Caenorhabditis elegans: one gene and its partners. The protein of the gene in region 2 purifies or fractionates together with the protein of the main gene of each other region. This does not show direct contact. Each region holds a gene or a part of one and is shown on either strand. Other genes may lie near its edges.

Evidence for each region.
Region 1: the proteins of gdi-1 (region 2) and math-48 fractionate together in Caenorhabditis elegans (co-fractionation; one large-scale study listed by BioGRID). This does not show direct contact.
Region 3: the proteins of gdi-1 (region 2) and bckd-1B fractionate together in Caenorhabditis elegans (co-fractionation; one large-scale study listed by BioGRID). This does not show direct contact.

Annotation. Positions count from the first base shown.
Region 1 is NC_003280.10:1,943,877-1,948,938, forward strand, and holds math-48 (MATH domain-containing protein), read right to left. Parts: upstream 2,652-5,062; 5' UTR 2,642-2,651; coding exon 2,529-2,641; intron 2,476-2,528; coding exon 2,198-2,475; intron 2,146-2,197; coding exon 2,019-2,145; intron 1,970-2,018; coding exon 1,642-1,969; 3' UTR 1,562-1,641; downstream 1-1,561. Other genes in the region: ZK250.14 (MATH domain-containing protein), read right to left, coding at 182-512, 562-688, 849-1,126, 1,180-1,292; ZK250.2 (DUF281 domain-containing protein), read left to right, coding at 4,817-5,008.
Region 2 is NC_003282.8:14,789,163-14,794,685, forward strand, and holds gdi-1 (Rab GDP dissociation inhibitor), read right to left. Parts: upstream 3,689-5,523; coding exon 2,650-3,688; intron 2,374-2,649; coding exon 2,120-2,373; intron 2,063-2,119; coding exon 1,976-2,062; downstream 1-1,975. Other genes in the region: melo-1 (RRM domain-containing protein), read left to right, coding at 244-352, 688-903, 986-1,071, 1,125-1,273, 1,328-1,501; coq-3 (Ubiquinone biosynthesis O-methyltransferase, mitochondrial), read right to left, coding at 4,048-4,245, 4,298-4,458.
Region 3 is NC_003279.8:7,725,271-7,730,653, reverse strand, and holds bckd-1B (2-oxoisovalerate dehydrogenase subunit beta, mitochondrial), read right to left. Parts: upstream 3,388-5,383; coding exon 2,989-3,387; intron 2,943-2,988; coding exon 2,469-2,942; intron 2,134-2,468; coding exon 2,047-2,133; intron 1,984-2,046; coding exon 1,843-1,983; 3' UTR 1,562-1,842; downstream 1-1,561. Other genes in the region: F27D4.8 (Chromate transporter), read right to left, coding at 851-955, 1,303-1,452; F27D4.4 (Zinc finger CCCH domain-containing protein 15 homolog), read right to left, coding at 3,778-3,857, 4,176-4,290, 4,344-4,445, 4,532-4,675, 4,795-4,983, 5,035-5,117, 5,166-5,315, 5,364-5,383.

The sequences.
Region 1 (5,062 bases), on a different chromosome or scaffold from region 2:
TAATCAATTTTATAACCAAATAAATGCACAATAAATTTCCTGAATAAAATACTGGTCATAAAAGTGCAGCAATTTACTTAATTTGTAAATGGCACGACTTGGAAAGGTACAGTTTTAATTTCATAAAAATTTATTCATATGAGTTTCACCCGAGTAATTCTGCTTTCCAATAGTACAGTTATCACATAATAAATGAGAACTCTTCGTTCAAATCATCTACATCATCCTCACATCCAGTCATCTCTACAATCTTCGCGCGAACTTCAATAATGATACTGTCGTTAACCATAAATCTCTCCTCCATATCATTCCATCTGATTATTTTATCCCAGCCGCTATCATATCCAGCTTTGAAAGTGTATTGTGTGTTGAATAGTAGGCTCTGACCATCTACTGACATCAATTTTAGCGTGTACTCAACTCGGATAGACCAATTATTGATTCTAGACGCTTGTTTATAGCATCGTAGGAATAATTTGAAAAATCCATCTTTTCTTTGAATCACGAGACACCTTAAAAATATGATTGTTAAAATAGAGTTATGTCTTCTAATTGACTAACCATGGAATACCAAAACGAACTTCAGTGTTAGTATGATATCTACTTCCTTCTCGAATGTTGGAAACATTTCTAACACTGCGATTCAGCATAAATGTTTTCAGATTCTTGGGAGCAATGCACGTGATATCTGTAATGACTAGTATATTTTTATCATTCCTGCTGATGCCCAAAAATTGGTCTCAAAGCGAAAACTTTCTCTTTTACGTCTTGACTCACAAAAACAAAATTGAATTAATTAGTGTTCAGCCTCATGCAAAGTCTGGTATCTCAACTTTATTCCAACTCACTTGTAACTTTAATAATCTTGACATGCGCTTCAATTATGGTACTGTCATCAATTACATAGTCACTTTCCAGTTCCTCCCAACTGATAAATTTGTGCCAACCTCTCCCTTTCAGCTCTACAAATGTGTGCACTTGATTCCTTGCCAAACTTGTTCCATAAGGTGATACCAACTTCAATGTAAACTCAGTTTCGACGGTCAATTTTCTGGTTTCACATTGTTCTTTGTCACATTGCAAATATAATACCAGATAACCATTGTGCCTCCATATTCTAATTCTCCTGTAATACATTGATTATATTCAAAGAATCTTTAAACCTTTAAATCAACTAACCATGGAATATTAAATCGTTCTTCCACATCAGTGAAGTATTGTTCTCCATTCAGAAATTGGGAGATATTTCGGACAGTTTGGCTGATTGCAAACTCTTTGCAAGAAGTAGACATTTTTCTTTGCAAAATTGAAATGGATGAAAAATCGAAGTGGATTTTTTTTCCACGCTAGCATTTGTTGTTTTTTTAAAACACGCTGGATTTTTTTTAGAAACGTCACGTTTGTTGAAATATGCCGTGCATATTATAAAATGGATTACTTTGTATGAATTTAATTTAATATTTGAATAATCAATTTTTAAGCCTAATAAATGAATAATAATTTTCTCGAATAAAACACTGGTCATGAAAAAGTGCAGCAATTTACAGAATTTGTGAGCGACTTGGAAAGGTACAGTTTTAATTTTATTAAAATTTATTCACATGAGAATTTCCACCGAGTAATTGTGTCCTCCAATAGTGATCACATAATAAAAGAGAGCTCTTCGCTTAAATCATCTACATCCTCACATCCAGTCATCTCCACAATGTTCGCGCAAACTTCAATAATGATACTGTCGTTCACCAGAAATCTCTCCTCCATATCCTTCCACCTGATTATCTTATCCCAGCCGCAATCCGTATTATTTGTATAAGTGTGTTTTGTGTTGTATAATAATCTCTGGCCATCCACGGACATCAATTTCAGCGTGTATTTAACTCCAATGGACCAATTATTGATTCTAGACGTTTTTTTATAGCATCGTAAGAATAGTTTGAAAAATCCATCCTTTCTTTTAATCACGAGACACCTTAAAAATATGATTGTTAAAGTAGAGTTCTCTCTTCTTATTGACTAACCATGGAATACCAAAACGAACTTCAGTGTTAGTAAGATATTTATTTCCTTCTCGAATGTTGGAAACATTTCTAACAGTTTGATTTAGCATAAATGTTTTCAGATTCTTGGGAGCAATGCACGGGACATCTGGAATAAGTAGTATCGTTTGGGTCTCTAAAGTAACTTTTTTTCAACTTACTTGAAATTTTAATAATCTTGACATACGCTTCAATTATAACACTGTCATCAACCATATAGTCATTTTCCAGTTCCTCCCAACTGATGAATTTGTGCCAACCTCCCATTTTCAGCTCTTTGAATGTGTGCACCTTATTCCTGGTCAAACTTCTCCCATAAGGCGACACCAACTTCAACGTGAACTCTGTTTCGACAGAAAACTTCCTGGTTTCACATTCTTCTTTGTCACATTGCAAATAAAATACCAAATCACCATTGAGCTTGCATATTCTCATTCTCCTGTAACACGTTAGTTATATTCAAAGAATCTTTAAATCTTTAAATCAACTAACCATGGAATATTAAATCGTTCTTCCACATCAGTGAAGTATTGCTCTCCATTCAGAAATTTGGAGATGTTCCGGATAGTTTGGCTGATTGCAAACTCTTTGAAGGAAGTAGACATTTTTCTTTGAGAAATTGAAATTGATGAAAAATCGAAGTGGATTTTATTTCCACGTTGTTGTCCACATTTGTTGTTTTTTTTAAACTTCACGTTATGTATTTAATTAATTTATATAAATAAGTTGATGGGTTTTTATTTGGAGCTTCCTTGTTCAGGACGTGCTTCCGACACCTCACCGCTAGAATGGCAAAATTGATATGGCAAAATTGATCGATTTGGTTTCTGATAAAATTTCAATAACTTTCTCCGTCTAATGTTCATTCATTCAATTTACGATCGATGAGAAAAAAAATGGGGATACAAATTATATTAGCAATATAAAACCTAGGGAGCAAGCCAGTATACAATAGAAAAAATTAAACACCAAAAAGTTGTAAAATATAATTTTTTAACAGAAAAGACTAAAATGTTGTGTACTTTCACTAATTTCTTGAGCAAGCACAACGTCACTTATGGCGAAATGGAGATTTATCCAGATCAGCAAACAAGTAGAAGTTCTGGCTTCTTGGATCCACGGAAGCCCATACTTCAACTCCATCGTTGCGACAAAGTGCCAAGTCTTTAATCAAAAATCCATCTTGGTAGATATCGGAAGAGCGAGACGTCCGGTACTCGATACCTTTCAGCAAAACTTCTTTGTAGTTCTCAAGGTTGTCCTCTGCCAGTGCAATATGAGCTTCTGCCAATCTAGGATTCGACCCATTGATGAGATGTCTGAGAAACAGATTCAAATCAGATAAAGAGAATGGGTGCTCGATTTTCAGATCTAAAGATCCTGAGCGTTGCATGAGAGCAGATCGTCAAGTCCGATGACACATTCTGCAGTAAACTCCAGGCGATCCAAGTTCTCGGAGACTAGAGCCCTGAACTGCTCACCAAGGAGAGCTCTGTCGGCAATGCTGATATTCATGGCGTCACGGTAGTAGAGATCGAACATCGTTGGGTTGTTCTCTCCCATCACGAGCTTCCACAACTTGATTCCTTTCAGCTCGTCATAGATCACATCTTCATCCATAACAAACAACATATCAATTTCCAGAAGATCCAGAGCGACGAGCAAATTCTCAACGCAACGTCTCATCGAAAAGCTTTCATTGAGCAATATCCAATTCGTAAAGTGCTCCTCAACGTCGTCTGAAGGAGGAATGAATAAGAACCTGCAGCATCCATTGGCAGACCAAACAATGATACCCATAAGGTGATCCAGAACTACGCACACATTTCCTGCTTCGATGTTCAGAAGCTTTACGGATGTTGGAGAGATCAGGGAGAAACTCATTCTGTAATTTATTATTTTAGTAAACATAGAAAATATATAAGTTAAACTCAAAAATCCGCGAATTTAAAATTCTGAAGAGTAGAACGAAGGGCCTTCGCTGGAAGACGGAGGATGGGGAAAGACGGAGCAGACATGGCTGGGAGAATAATGAAGAATGAATGGGGAGATATAGAATGGGATGGCTTGGTATCGATTCTTCAGATTTGCACTCCCGGGATGATGATCACGGTTAATAGTGGGAAAAGGTTTAGGTGAGAACCTTGCAAAATGACTATTTTGAAGGTTCTCACCTGAACGTTTTCACACTATGGGGTAACAGGTGAGAACGTCCCACTAGGAAGTGTCAATCAATTGGGTGAAAATGTCTCAAAATCGATACGAAAAAAAAAACCGATTATTGCAGTGATTAATATGAAAATACCTGATCGCTCTTTGTAAAATCTGAAACTCAGAGAAAAAATTTGTTCAAAAAAGTTACATTTTGAACGTTACTAGGAAGATAAAACAAACGCGTAATAAAAGCCGCCCATCTCTGATGTGGACCTCAGAAATTTAGGAACTTTCCGGAGTGAATCTTCAAAACTGGGGGCAATATTTTCTAATCAGACCTAGGGAAAATCTAGTCGTATGCTATTAGATCATCACCTGTCATGATAAGATCCGTATCACGGATAGATCACCTTATCTTGTTGGTTTTCTTATCAAGAAGCTTGTCTAGTCTTCCGAAAGATGGACTATGTTGATCTTCATGTGATCCTGTATCAACTGATCTGTCTGGTTCAATTTGTTTCTAGTCTTATCATATCGCTTCGCTAGACTTGGAAACATTTGAGTAACTGGATTTTCGATTCCGAGGATAATAAGTACACATTTTGCCATTTAGCTTCACAGTCGCTATGAACTTCTATTTTATATCCGTGTGTTCTATTATTTCATCCTTGGCGGTTTTAACAGAAAGTTGTATGCGAATGGTTCCACGAAAGGACGTATATATTTCGAGCACATTAGCTCCGGAGGTGGACCCGCCTACCACATTGGCTCCAGAGACTGCTGCTCCTACTACACATGCTGAGACTGGCATGACTGAGGTATTTTGTTATACTTCGATTGAAGTAGATCTGATAGTGTTGCCAATAAACAGA
Region 2 (5,523 bases):
AACTCAAATCTGAAATTTCGCCGATTTTCAAGAGTCACAACGGCCGGAAATAGATTTTTATCTGTAAAATAAAACAATAATCGAACAAAAAAATGAATTTATAACCGCTGCGACCAGGGAAAATTGCCGAAAATTCAGGGTTTAGTTAAAATTGGCCCATTTTTTCGAAATTTTTGGAACCGCCATAAAAGCTTTTCTTGAAATTTTTCGATATCTATTTAGTGTCAATTTTTGAATTTTCAGCCCCACAACCTGCTCAACCGCCAGTTCAAGTCAATTCTTATTATACCACTACACCTATTCAGCAACAACAGCAACAACAGCAACCAATACCACCACAACTCCCTACAGCGTAAGTTCATTACCCAGACGCCAAATTTTTTGAGAGTTTTGCTCCAAAAATACGGTTCGTGGTCTCCAAGCGACAGTTTTTTTTTTTGATAAATACAAACAGGTATGCGCCTTTAAAGTGTACTGAAATATTTGTCGATTTTTTGTTGAAAATCATTTTTTATTTTAACAAATCGTGAGAAAAACAATTGAAAGCACTGCTAGGAAATTTAGAAGCTACAGTACTCTTTAAAGGTGCGCACCTGTTTGTAAGTATTTAACAAAAATTTTTCGTGTCGAGACCCGGTACCATATTCCCCGCGGGGCAAATTTTCACGTTTGTGTAATCCGTTTTAGTCCACCACAACCACCACCGACCACGCCCCAACCTGCGTTTGTGCCCCGTCAAATTGGCAGAATCGAAATAGTTATGCCTTCTTCTCTGCCGGCTCCAGTGGTTTCAGCTGCTGCTGCTTCTGCTTCTGCCGCTGCTCACCCAGTTGCTATGAATGGGTCTGCTATCAGTGGTGGTTCAAGTATGCCCGACATTACAATGCACCCCAACACGAATAAGTATGAATTTCGAAATTCCCTGAAAAACTAATATTTATTCTCTAATTTTTAATATTTCCCTCAAAAAATCAATGTTTTCCAGACTCTTTGGTCATCTCAAAGCCTTCCAATCTGCTCTCCTCTCCACTGTCAAGTATGAGCCGCCAGCGAGAAAGGAAGAAGACGAAGGTAACCATTGACAACCGGCGGGGGCTTTTTCGAAAAACAATATATAATTTCAGCTGGATTCTCTACTCTCCGTCTCTCATCACTAGCCACTGAAGATGACTCGGCGGACGAGGAGAAGGCGATGGTGAGGGAGTTGAAGCTTGCGAAGCTCAACGATGAGCAAATGATGCGTTTCCATATTAAGAAGAAGCAACTCGAATCGGTAAGTTTTCAAGTTACTCATTGACTAATTTGAGTCAAATTTTCTATTTTTCAGGCTTTTCGCAACGATTGTGAAACATATGCGGTCGTCACACGTGCTCTTCTCGCTAAAGACGAGTCTCTACAATTCGGACTGAAAATGGCATTGCTCGAGAATATGGAGGATTTGTACAAAAAGATGATGCAACGTGTCGATGATCAGCTCGATGCTCTGCTTGTGATGGCTTAAACTGGGATTTTTTCTTTAATCAATTATGTAAAAACATATATGCTTATTCTTCTCCAATTTTCAAATGGAAATGATCTCCCTTCATCAAATGTAATCCCATCCTATCCAAACTTTCTGATCGTGATAATAATTGTATTTCTGTAATGAAGTACTTCAAAAGGATAAAGTGATTTATAGATTTACGAAGCGGACTTTGTTTGGGAATTGTAAAGTTAAATACAAAGGAAATAGTGGGAAGAAATTTTGTTTTCGGGACGAAAATTGAAATTTAAAAAAAGGGTTCTCGGGGAATCACATGAGGATAGAGACTGGAAAAGAGAAAATACAATAAATTAAAATCGGTTGAAAATGAACATTGGACAGGAGAAACAAACGGAACGGGAATCGTTTTTTTTATAGAGGCGACAAAAAAGAGCAAAAGCAGCATCAGAAGCGTCAAATCAGAGTACTCAAAAGAAGGGAATGGATATTCAATTATTCCTGATCATTCAACGACAAGTGAGTGATGTTGGTGAAGTCGAATTCTTTGGTCGTTCCACGTTCGAACATGTTGAGCACGTCCTGAAAAATGAATAATTATAATTTCTTTCAAAAATTGTTTTAAATTCTTTAAATTACCTTGCAAGTGGTTTCAAAGTGAGTCGTAGCATCATAAGATTGAGAGATGAAGATCTGTGACTCAGATCCCAAGTCAGATGGCTCATAAACATCGGAAATCTGAATGAACTTCTCGGCAATTGCGCCAAGAAGTTGAAGTCCTGGAAGAACTTCAGCCTCTGGATTGGCTGTCTCGACAGTGGTGGAGACCATTGCCAAATACCATCCCTTTGGTGTCACCATGTTCGTGTTGGAGCAGCATGAGATGTAGATGTCTGAAAAAAAGGGAATTAGTGATGCTGAAAGCGTGAGTTTTGCAAAAAGCAGCGAGTCGCACAGAAAAAGAGGCGGAGAGTAAATTGGCAAACCGGCGGCTCGGTTTTTCCTCCTTTTAATTTATTTTTCAATAAAGTTTCAATTTTACCTAATTCTCATAGGATCGTGAGACTATTTTAGTCTTCGGATAATTAAATTCGATAATATTTTCATTCAAACATTAACAAAAAAAGTAGGAAAAACCCGTGCCGCAAGATTGCAAAATTACGCCCTACCTCTTTTCTGTGCGACGCGCTGCTTTTCCAAGACTATAAATTTACCATAATGTCTTCCAACTTGCTTTTGTGGAATGATAATCTGGCAGGATTGAGCATCATTTGTATTTGGAATTGGATGGTTCAACAAACAAATGGCTCGGACAACTTGTCCAGTCTTCTTGACACGATCCTTGGCGTATGAGGGATCGCAGTAGATCTGCTTTCCACGGACAATCTCATCTCCACACTTGACTCCAATAGCCTTTCCATTCTCCATCACAATCTCGTCGACTGGCTTGTCGAGCATGTAGGTTCCTCCGTAGATGGCCGAGAGACGAGCGAATCCCTGTGGAAGTTCTCCCAATCCGTACAATGGGTACAAGTATGGTGACTTTCCATAACGAGCCAATGAGTCAGAGTACAATCGGATCTTCTCAACAGCTGGAGCGTATGGTTGATTCTTGTGCTCATCGTCACGGTAGAGGGCCAGCGCGTGTCCGGTGAAATCGGCGGTGTTCTCGTCAAGGCCAAACTTCTCGTAAACCTGCTGCATTGTGCTGTTGTGTGGGTCAAGTCCTTGCCAAGTGTCCTCCTTGTTCTCATCGAATTGTTGCACCCAGACGAGGAACTTCTTGAAGCGACGTTTCTCGAACATTCCCATAAGGGAAGTGGCAAGAGCCTCCATCTCATCGGCCGGCACCTTGTAGATCTTTCCACCCTTCACAACGAACGAGGCCTCAATCGACTTGAATTCCAAGTAGCGAGTGACTCCAGTATGGATGAGAAGCTTGACCAATGGCCCGTTGGCCATCAAAAACTTTGGAATCAAGTCGACGTTCCAGTCACGTCCACGTCCCATCTCCTGTTGTGGCTTGGCTTGTGGACCGTGGAATTTCTCGTAGAGTTGCTCAAGTGGAGTCAGTGAAGCTGACTCTCCTCCATAATAGTTGTTTCGGTCAATGTGGAGAACCTTCTTTCCGGAAACCGACAGCATTCCCGAGATGATGCACTCCTTGAGGCCGGTTCCGAGAACGATGGCATCGTATTCCTCATCCATTTCGAGCGAGTTTTTCGGGGAATTGGTTGGAACTCCTGAAAATTGATCGGATTGTGATTTGGAAAATTGCGGGGAAAGAGAAACTGAAAGAAAAGTTGAATTTCAAAAAGGAAATTTTAGAATTCAAGAAAATAATTATAAAAACTGAAGAAAGAGAGTGAGAGGGAGGGAGGGAGAGACGCAGAGAATAAAGTTGTTGAAAATCAGATATTTTGCGGGTAGATCAAACCCAATTGTTTGACATTTAAAAGAGTTAGGTCTCAAATTATTTTTTTTTTTGAAAATTAAAAAAAATAGCACCAGTAACATATGGAAACATGAAAAAAAAACTAGCAACACTAAACAAAAAATCTTCAAATCTAATTCTTCACTGCCAAAATTCCGTAATTACACTGAGTCGATTCGATCCATGTCCAGTGATTTCCAACCGGATGAAACATTAATCCATGCACCGCCGTCACCCGGCAACCCGCTTTTTCGAGATGTGAAGTGAGCTCGGCGGGTGTGATGAATTTTTCCCAGTCGTGGACTCCGGGCGGCACGATTTTGAGTACATTCTGAAAATTTTCAAATTTATTTCCAAAAAAAAAAGAAAGAAAAAAATCAAACCTCTGCAAGCCAAATAGCTGCCAATTTGCTCAGCCACGTTCTGTTGATAGTTGTGATGAAGAGCGGGGCACCGGGGCGAGCCAGCTCAGCGAGGCAGCCAATGAATCCGGGAAGATCGGCGACGTGTTCGACAATTTCCGAAGCGACGACTGCATCGTAGGCTGGAATTATTGAAGATTTTAAGGTAAATTGCTAAAAAATACAGAAAAGAATGGGGAAAAGATGTGTTGCGAAATATTTTTTAACTTTTGAGTAGATTGGAAGTAGAAATCAATAATTTTCGATTACTATTCAAGAGTACGTAGGAGTTTCACAGAACTTCATCAAGTCTACGCAAGAGTTTCATTTCATTTAAGACCTTTTCTGTGAAAGTTTTCAGTCAAGTGACTTCAAAATCGTAAACAACTCAAAAAATAGGTTATTCTAAATAATTTCACCAATTGATTCGTATAATCGCAGTAAACATAATAGTTGAAAAGATGACGTCAGCTGTCCTAGCGACACGTGGATCGAGCTTCAAATGGCCGAATCGCCGACATAGAATGACACGTGGCAACGACGAACACAGGGGCGCCCAGTTAGGGAATGTTTGTCATCAGAGACAGCAACAACCAGAGAGGGTCTACGAGATGATGCTGCTGCGTGTGAGTGTGAGTGAGAGTGAATTTGAGCGCTCATTCCCTTTCTCACTCACTCTCTCCGCGGTTAACCCCAAACGGGATGGCGGTCGAAATGAGCGTCCAAAATGGACTGAGAGAAGGGAGCGACGGCGAGAGACTGGAGAGATCAAATAACATCTGAGGACATCTGGGTTGGATCTAGTATTATTCAAGACTTCCGAACTGTAATAATATCCAGTTGAGACCTTCAAAATTGAAGTCTAGGACATCTAGAACTGAAAGTTCGAGAACCTACAAGCCATAGACGCAGACACAACCGGATGAGGGTGAGAACACGAGACGCAGAAATGTGGGGATTGTTGTGTTGGCCCACACATCGAAAAGGGGGGGGGGAGAGAGAGAGAGACACAACACCGAAGAAGAACAAAATCGATAAAATGTCCAAGAAGAGGAGAAGCCGGACGGGTGGAGGAGGAGAAGACGGCGAGCAAAATAGGGAAATAGAGAACAGAACAGAAGAGTTGAAAGCTTTGTATCCAAAATTATTCCAAGGGGGCACCGGAAATCGAATTGAATTGGGTTGGATCAACACTTTTTTCAACAAAA
Region 3 (5,383 bases), on a different chromosome or scaffold from region 2:
TTTTCAAAGTTGAAAAGCGGAAATTGGTAAAAAACACTTTAATAGTTCATAAACGACCAAATGTGATTGTAAAACTTACAATAGTTGTGAAAAACTGATTATATAAATAATCTGATTTTTTTTTGTAAGTTGTAGGAGTTTAGAGAGGCGGCGTTGCTCTAAGTTTATTTTTTTTAACCTAAAATTTCCGAAAATTTGGCAATTTCTCAAACCTTTGAATCTTGAGGGTTTGAAAAATTAAAAAAAACTAACTTTGGAGTTTTTCATTATGATACACTGAAAATCACAAAACTGTTTAGCATGTTTGCACAGATTTCAAAAAATTTGGCCTTTTTTGCAATTTGTGCAAATACACCCTTTTTATGATTTTCAGTGTATTTGGTCATGGTGTGGTCATACGTGTAATTAGAAAAAATCATCCCCCACAAAGAAAAATAAGAAGAGTTGGGAATTACAGTACTTTTAAGCAAAACGGGCTCGATTTTTGAAACGAATTTCTGTCCGAATTGTGGCATCGATATAAAATTTTATTTAGTTTTCTCGTTTCGTTTTGCCATTGTTGTGTTTTGTTCCAATATTTTATCGACAAATAAAAGATTTCAGTAAATCGACACCAGTGCTACAGTAGTCATTCAAAGAGTTACTGTAGTTTTCGCTACGGGATGTTTTGAGCGTTAAATATGTTTCGCAATATACATTCCAAAAGTTAAGTGTTCACGTAATACGCTCATATTTACGTATGCTTCTTTTCAAAGTGTTATGCGAAAAAAATTCATAGCATAAAAAATTGTTATTTCGATTTGTACATTTTCACAGAAAAATTCAAATTTGGCAATATATAATTAATTAATCACATTCTGGAAAAAATGGCAGCATATCCCTTGATGGCAAGTGGGCAAGCGATGTCCGAGTAGAGACACATTGACAGGATTCCGAGGATGAAGATAATTCCGGCCTGAAAATTAAATTCAAAAACTGAAACAAAATTAGCAGTCTACAAGTTACTTAGTTTAGAAAAGATGCAATTTTGGGCCCGAAAACTTCATGGTTACCGTACCCGCAAGTTTCTCGCTTTTTAATGTTGCTTATATCAGTATTTCTTACAATTTGAGCTTCTTTCCAAATTTTCCAGTGATTGCAAAAAACATTGAACAGAAAGATGCAAATATGCGGTAGGAAGACTTGTGGGTACGGTAACTGGGATCTTTCGGTCGCTTCGAGATAAAGTATTGTATGTCAAAAATTGCAAAATTTTGGAACCGGGTAATATTACAGGTATCTGATGAAAATGAGAATATTAACCTGAACACTATAGACAGCAATACTATCAATTGTGTAATATTCTGGGAGCTCTGGGAAATAACTCTGAAGCCAGATGAGCACAGGAAATCCAGGAATAATTGATGCAATTGAGACAATGATTAGAAGACCCGCAGCTATTATATGGTTCATCCCGCTTTTTGAAGAGATCTGAAAATCCGCATTTCCCGTTTTTACAGGAAAAATCAAAAATCAAATATTAGATGAGAATCCAACGAAGAAAAAAGATGAAAATACTTTTAGAAAAATCAATTCATACATTTATTCATAAAACACATAAAAGAACTATAGCACACTGAAAATATCTAAAACGAGCAATTGAGGGAATGTTCGACATATAATGTCAAAAACCAACACATTTATGATGATGGGTTTAGCGATTTGGACCGGAATAAAATATGGGTGATTTAAAATGCAGATGGCACCGTTTGAACAGAAAATTAGGCTAAAACAAGAAAATATTCTACTTTTCTACACGGTTTCGTTGTTACCTTGTATAATTTCTTATATCAAATACATATTCTAATAGTTAACACTCTTCTTGATTGCGTCGAAAACTCGATGAACAGTTGGCAGGTAGAATGGTTCGTGAACGTGTGGGAATGGTGTATCGAATCCAGCAACACGATCTATTGGAGATTCAAGGTTCAGGAAGCAACGTTTCTGTAATATTTTTGATTGTTAATTTATTATTTGAAAAAGGAAAGTAAAATATAAATTATTTACCTGAACAGTAGAAGCAATTTCAGCTCCAAAACCAGAAGAAATCGGAGCTTCATGAGTGACAATGAGTCGACCAGTTTTTTGAACACTCTGAAAAATAATTCATATTTAATCACTCAACATCCAAATATTACGCGAACACAAACAAAAAACGCAAAATATCTCGCAGCGAAAACTACAGTAGTTCTTTAAATGACTTCTGCAGCGCTTGTGTCGATTTACGGGCTAGATCATTGATTTATCGATAGAATATTAAAATCCAAACGGAGAAACGAACTAATCGCAAAAAATTAATTTCAAGAATCGAGCCCGTAAATCGACGCTTCAGTAGTCACTTAAAGAATTACTGTACTTTGCGTTACGAGATATTTTGCGCGTCAAATATGTTGCGCAATACGCATTCGCAGAATTTTGTAATAATTCACCTCTACTACATGATCCTCGTCCCAAGGTTGAATCGTCTGAAGATCAATAACTTCAACATCTGCATTGAGCTTCTCCTTGGCCAATTGAGCTGCTTCAAGAGCAACATGAACCTGTGTTCCCCAGGCAACAAGTGTCAAATCTTTTCCAGAACGAACAGTTTCAGCTTGTCCCAGTGGAATTGTGTAATCTCCAGTTGGAACATCTTCAGAAGCCAATCGATAAAGAATCTTTGGTTCGAAGAAAATACATGGATTCGGATCACGAATGCACGACAGAAGAAGTCCTTTGGCTTGAACTGGCCCACGTGGAACAACAAGCTTTAATCCTGGGGTATGGGTGAAGTTAGCTTCAGGACTCTGTGAATGGTATAGAGCTCCATGTCCTACGGCTCCCCATGTTGTTCTTACAGTCAGTTTTCCACAGTCAAATTGATTTCCCGAACGGTATCTGAACTTGGCTGCCTCGTTGACAAGCTGGAATAATTTTTTTTATTTCCATAATATTTATTCCGGATATTACCTGATCATAAGCTGGGAAGATGTAATCACCAAACTGAATCTCAGCAATGGCAGTTGCTCCAGCCGCTGCGACTCCAATTCCGAATCCAGCAATTCCCTGCTCACAAAGTGGAGTATTGAAGACTCGATCTTTTCCGAACTTCTTTTGAAGATCCAAACTACATCTGAAGACACCACCAAAAGCAACATCTTCACCAAAAAGAACAGCAGAATCATCTGTTTCCATTGCAATTCTCATCGCTTCATTAACAGACTGCATCAAATTCATTTTAGTCTTTTCAAGATTTTCAAGTCCTGCTGGAAGTGTGGTTGATGGTTGAAACGTGAAGTGAGCTTTTCCTCGAGTTTGGGAGATTCTGGATCCACATTTTGAGAAGAGGCTTACGGCTCGGGAACTCATCTGAAGATCGCAATAATTTTAAAATAAACTTTTATAGGATTTCCAAGTTAATTAATTTTTTCAATCAAAAGTTCACGCATTATTTGAAGATTAAAATAAAAGATAAATGAATCGGGCAAAACCGATATTTTTTCAAAATTAAAATAAATCATCTGAATTGTAATGAATTTATAACAAAACGACACCAAAAAATGGAGAAAACTTCAAATAATAGTCCCTTGTAATTTGAAAAAAATAATCAAATACAGAGAAAATTGGGACTACCGGTTAGTCGTGACAAACAAGAAATAATAATAGATAGCAGGGGAATCGGGAAAAAAGAAACACTGAAATTCAAAGCAAAAACAGAAAAAGAACAGGAAAAAAGGGGGAGCACCAGAAGTATACTCTTCAATCCTCATCAGAATCGAGGTTTTCAACGTCTTCGTCAATGTCGAACAAGTCCTCGTTGATGTCCATCTTTGCCATTCCTGCAATTTTTGAAATTAGTTTTTGAGATAGTGTGTCGGCTCGCCACAAGAGACCCAGACACAATAAAGAAAACGTTTTTTTTTTTGCAAAACGTGTGTCTGTGGGAAAGGGAGAAATTCAATTGATTTTTGCCGAAAGATAACAGATTTTGAAGTGACAGCCAAAATGATGTTTGAATTTTTTTGTGTTGATAAGAATGAAATGAGGATATTGACAGCCAGAGAAAAGCCACGTGTCAAAAATAGTTTTTTAACAGAAAAATTAGCCATTCAAATTTGACGAAAATTGTTTTTTATTTACGCACTGAAAAAAATTACCTTTAGCAGTAGATTCAACAGCAGTCGAGGATTTGCTCATTTGATCCGTCAGTTCATCGTCCATTCCGTCGAATTTGAAGAAGTTGGCATCGATTTCAAATACCTTTTCATTCTCCTGAAATTATTTAAATTTTTGTAAAATTAAAATAATTAATTTCAAAAACTAACATCAACTTCTTCCTTCTCCATCTCAATATCTCCGGCCTCGTCGTCGTCGTTGTTGACCAGATTGGCGTCATATAAGAAAAGATCACGTCCAGACATTCCATTCTAAAAAAAGAAAACATTAATTTATGTAAAGAGACGAGAAACAGAAATTAAAGTAGTAAATTTAAATAAAAATTCAAATTTCTTACATGTTTTCCAGATTTGATCTTCTCTTTCTTTTCTTTCAAATCGGCTTCTTCTTTCTCTTTTCGCTCTCTTAACTTCTTCTTCTTCCAGGCAATGAAGGTTTGGAGTGTTAATTTTGTGAGATTTTTCGAACTCAAAGCGGCTCTCTGGAAATGTTAAACTATAATTCTTACGAAAAATTGGAATAAAATTTAATTTATGTGGTCTTTCAAATTGAAATAACTTTTAACAATGTTTTTGCCACTATTTTCCCCTATAAGTATACCTCTTTCTCAACAAGTTCCTCAATACTAATTTCATCTTCTTTTTGTTGCTCCATTGCTTTCCGTTCCTTTTTCAAAACATATCCTTCTGGTAGACAATGCCGATATTGACATTTTTCTCCTCCATTCGGACATTCCCAAAACCAACCGTACTTGTTGTTCTCTACAGCTTCCAAGAAGTACTTGCAAACCTTAAAATTCAATTTTTTAAACTTAAAAATGTCTGTCATGAAACTGCTTACAATATCAATCATATGTTTATTTTTATTTTTCTTATTGACCACTTCATTCAATTTGTCCGAGTCCCAGTTCTCGTTTGTTTCTTCTGGAATGCTTAGAAATTACAAAAAAAAACGTTTAATTTGGTGCAAACCGTCTTTTTCGACTTCTCTGCTGTCTGCATACAGGTTCTTCTTCGCTGTCTTCTGAGCAACTGCCAAATCGTGACTGAATTTGCACTTTGCTCCTTTTCCGCAAAGACCTTGTTTGAAGAATACACAGAGAAGAGATTTTGGATCGACATCTGAAAAATTCACAACAGTTTAATTTTTTTCGATCTAAAAGTGGCAACCTTTTGCGACTTTTTGTTCC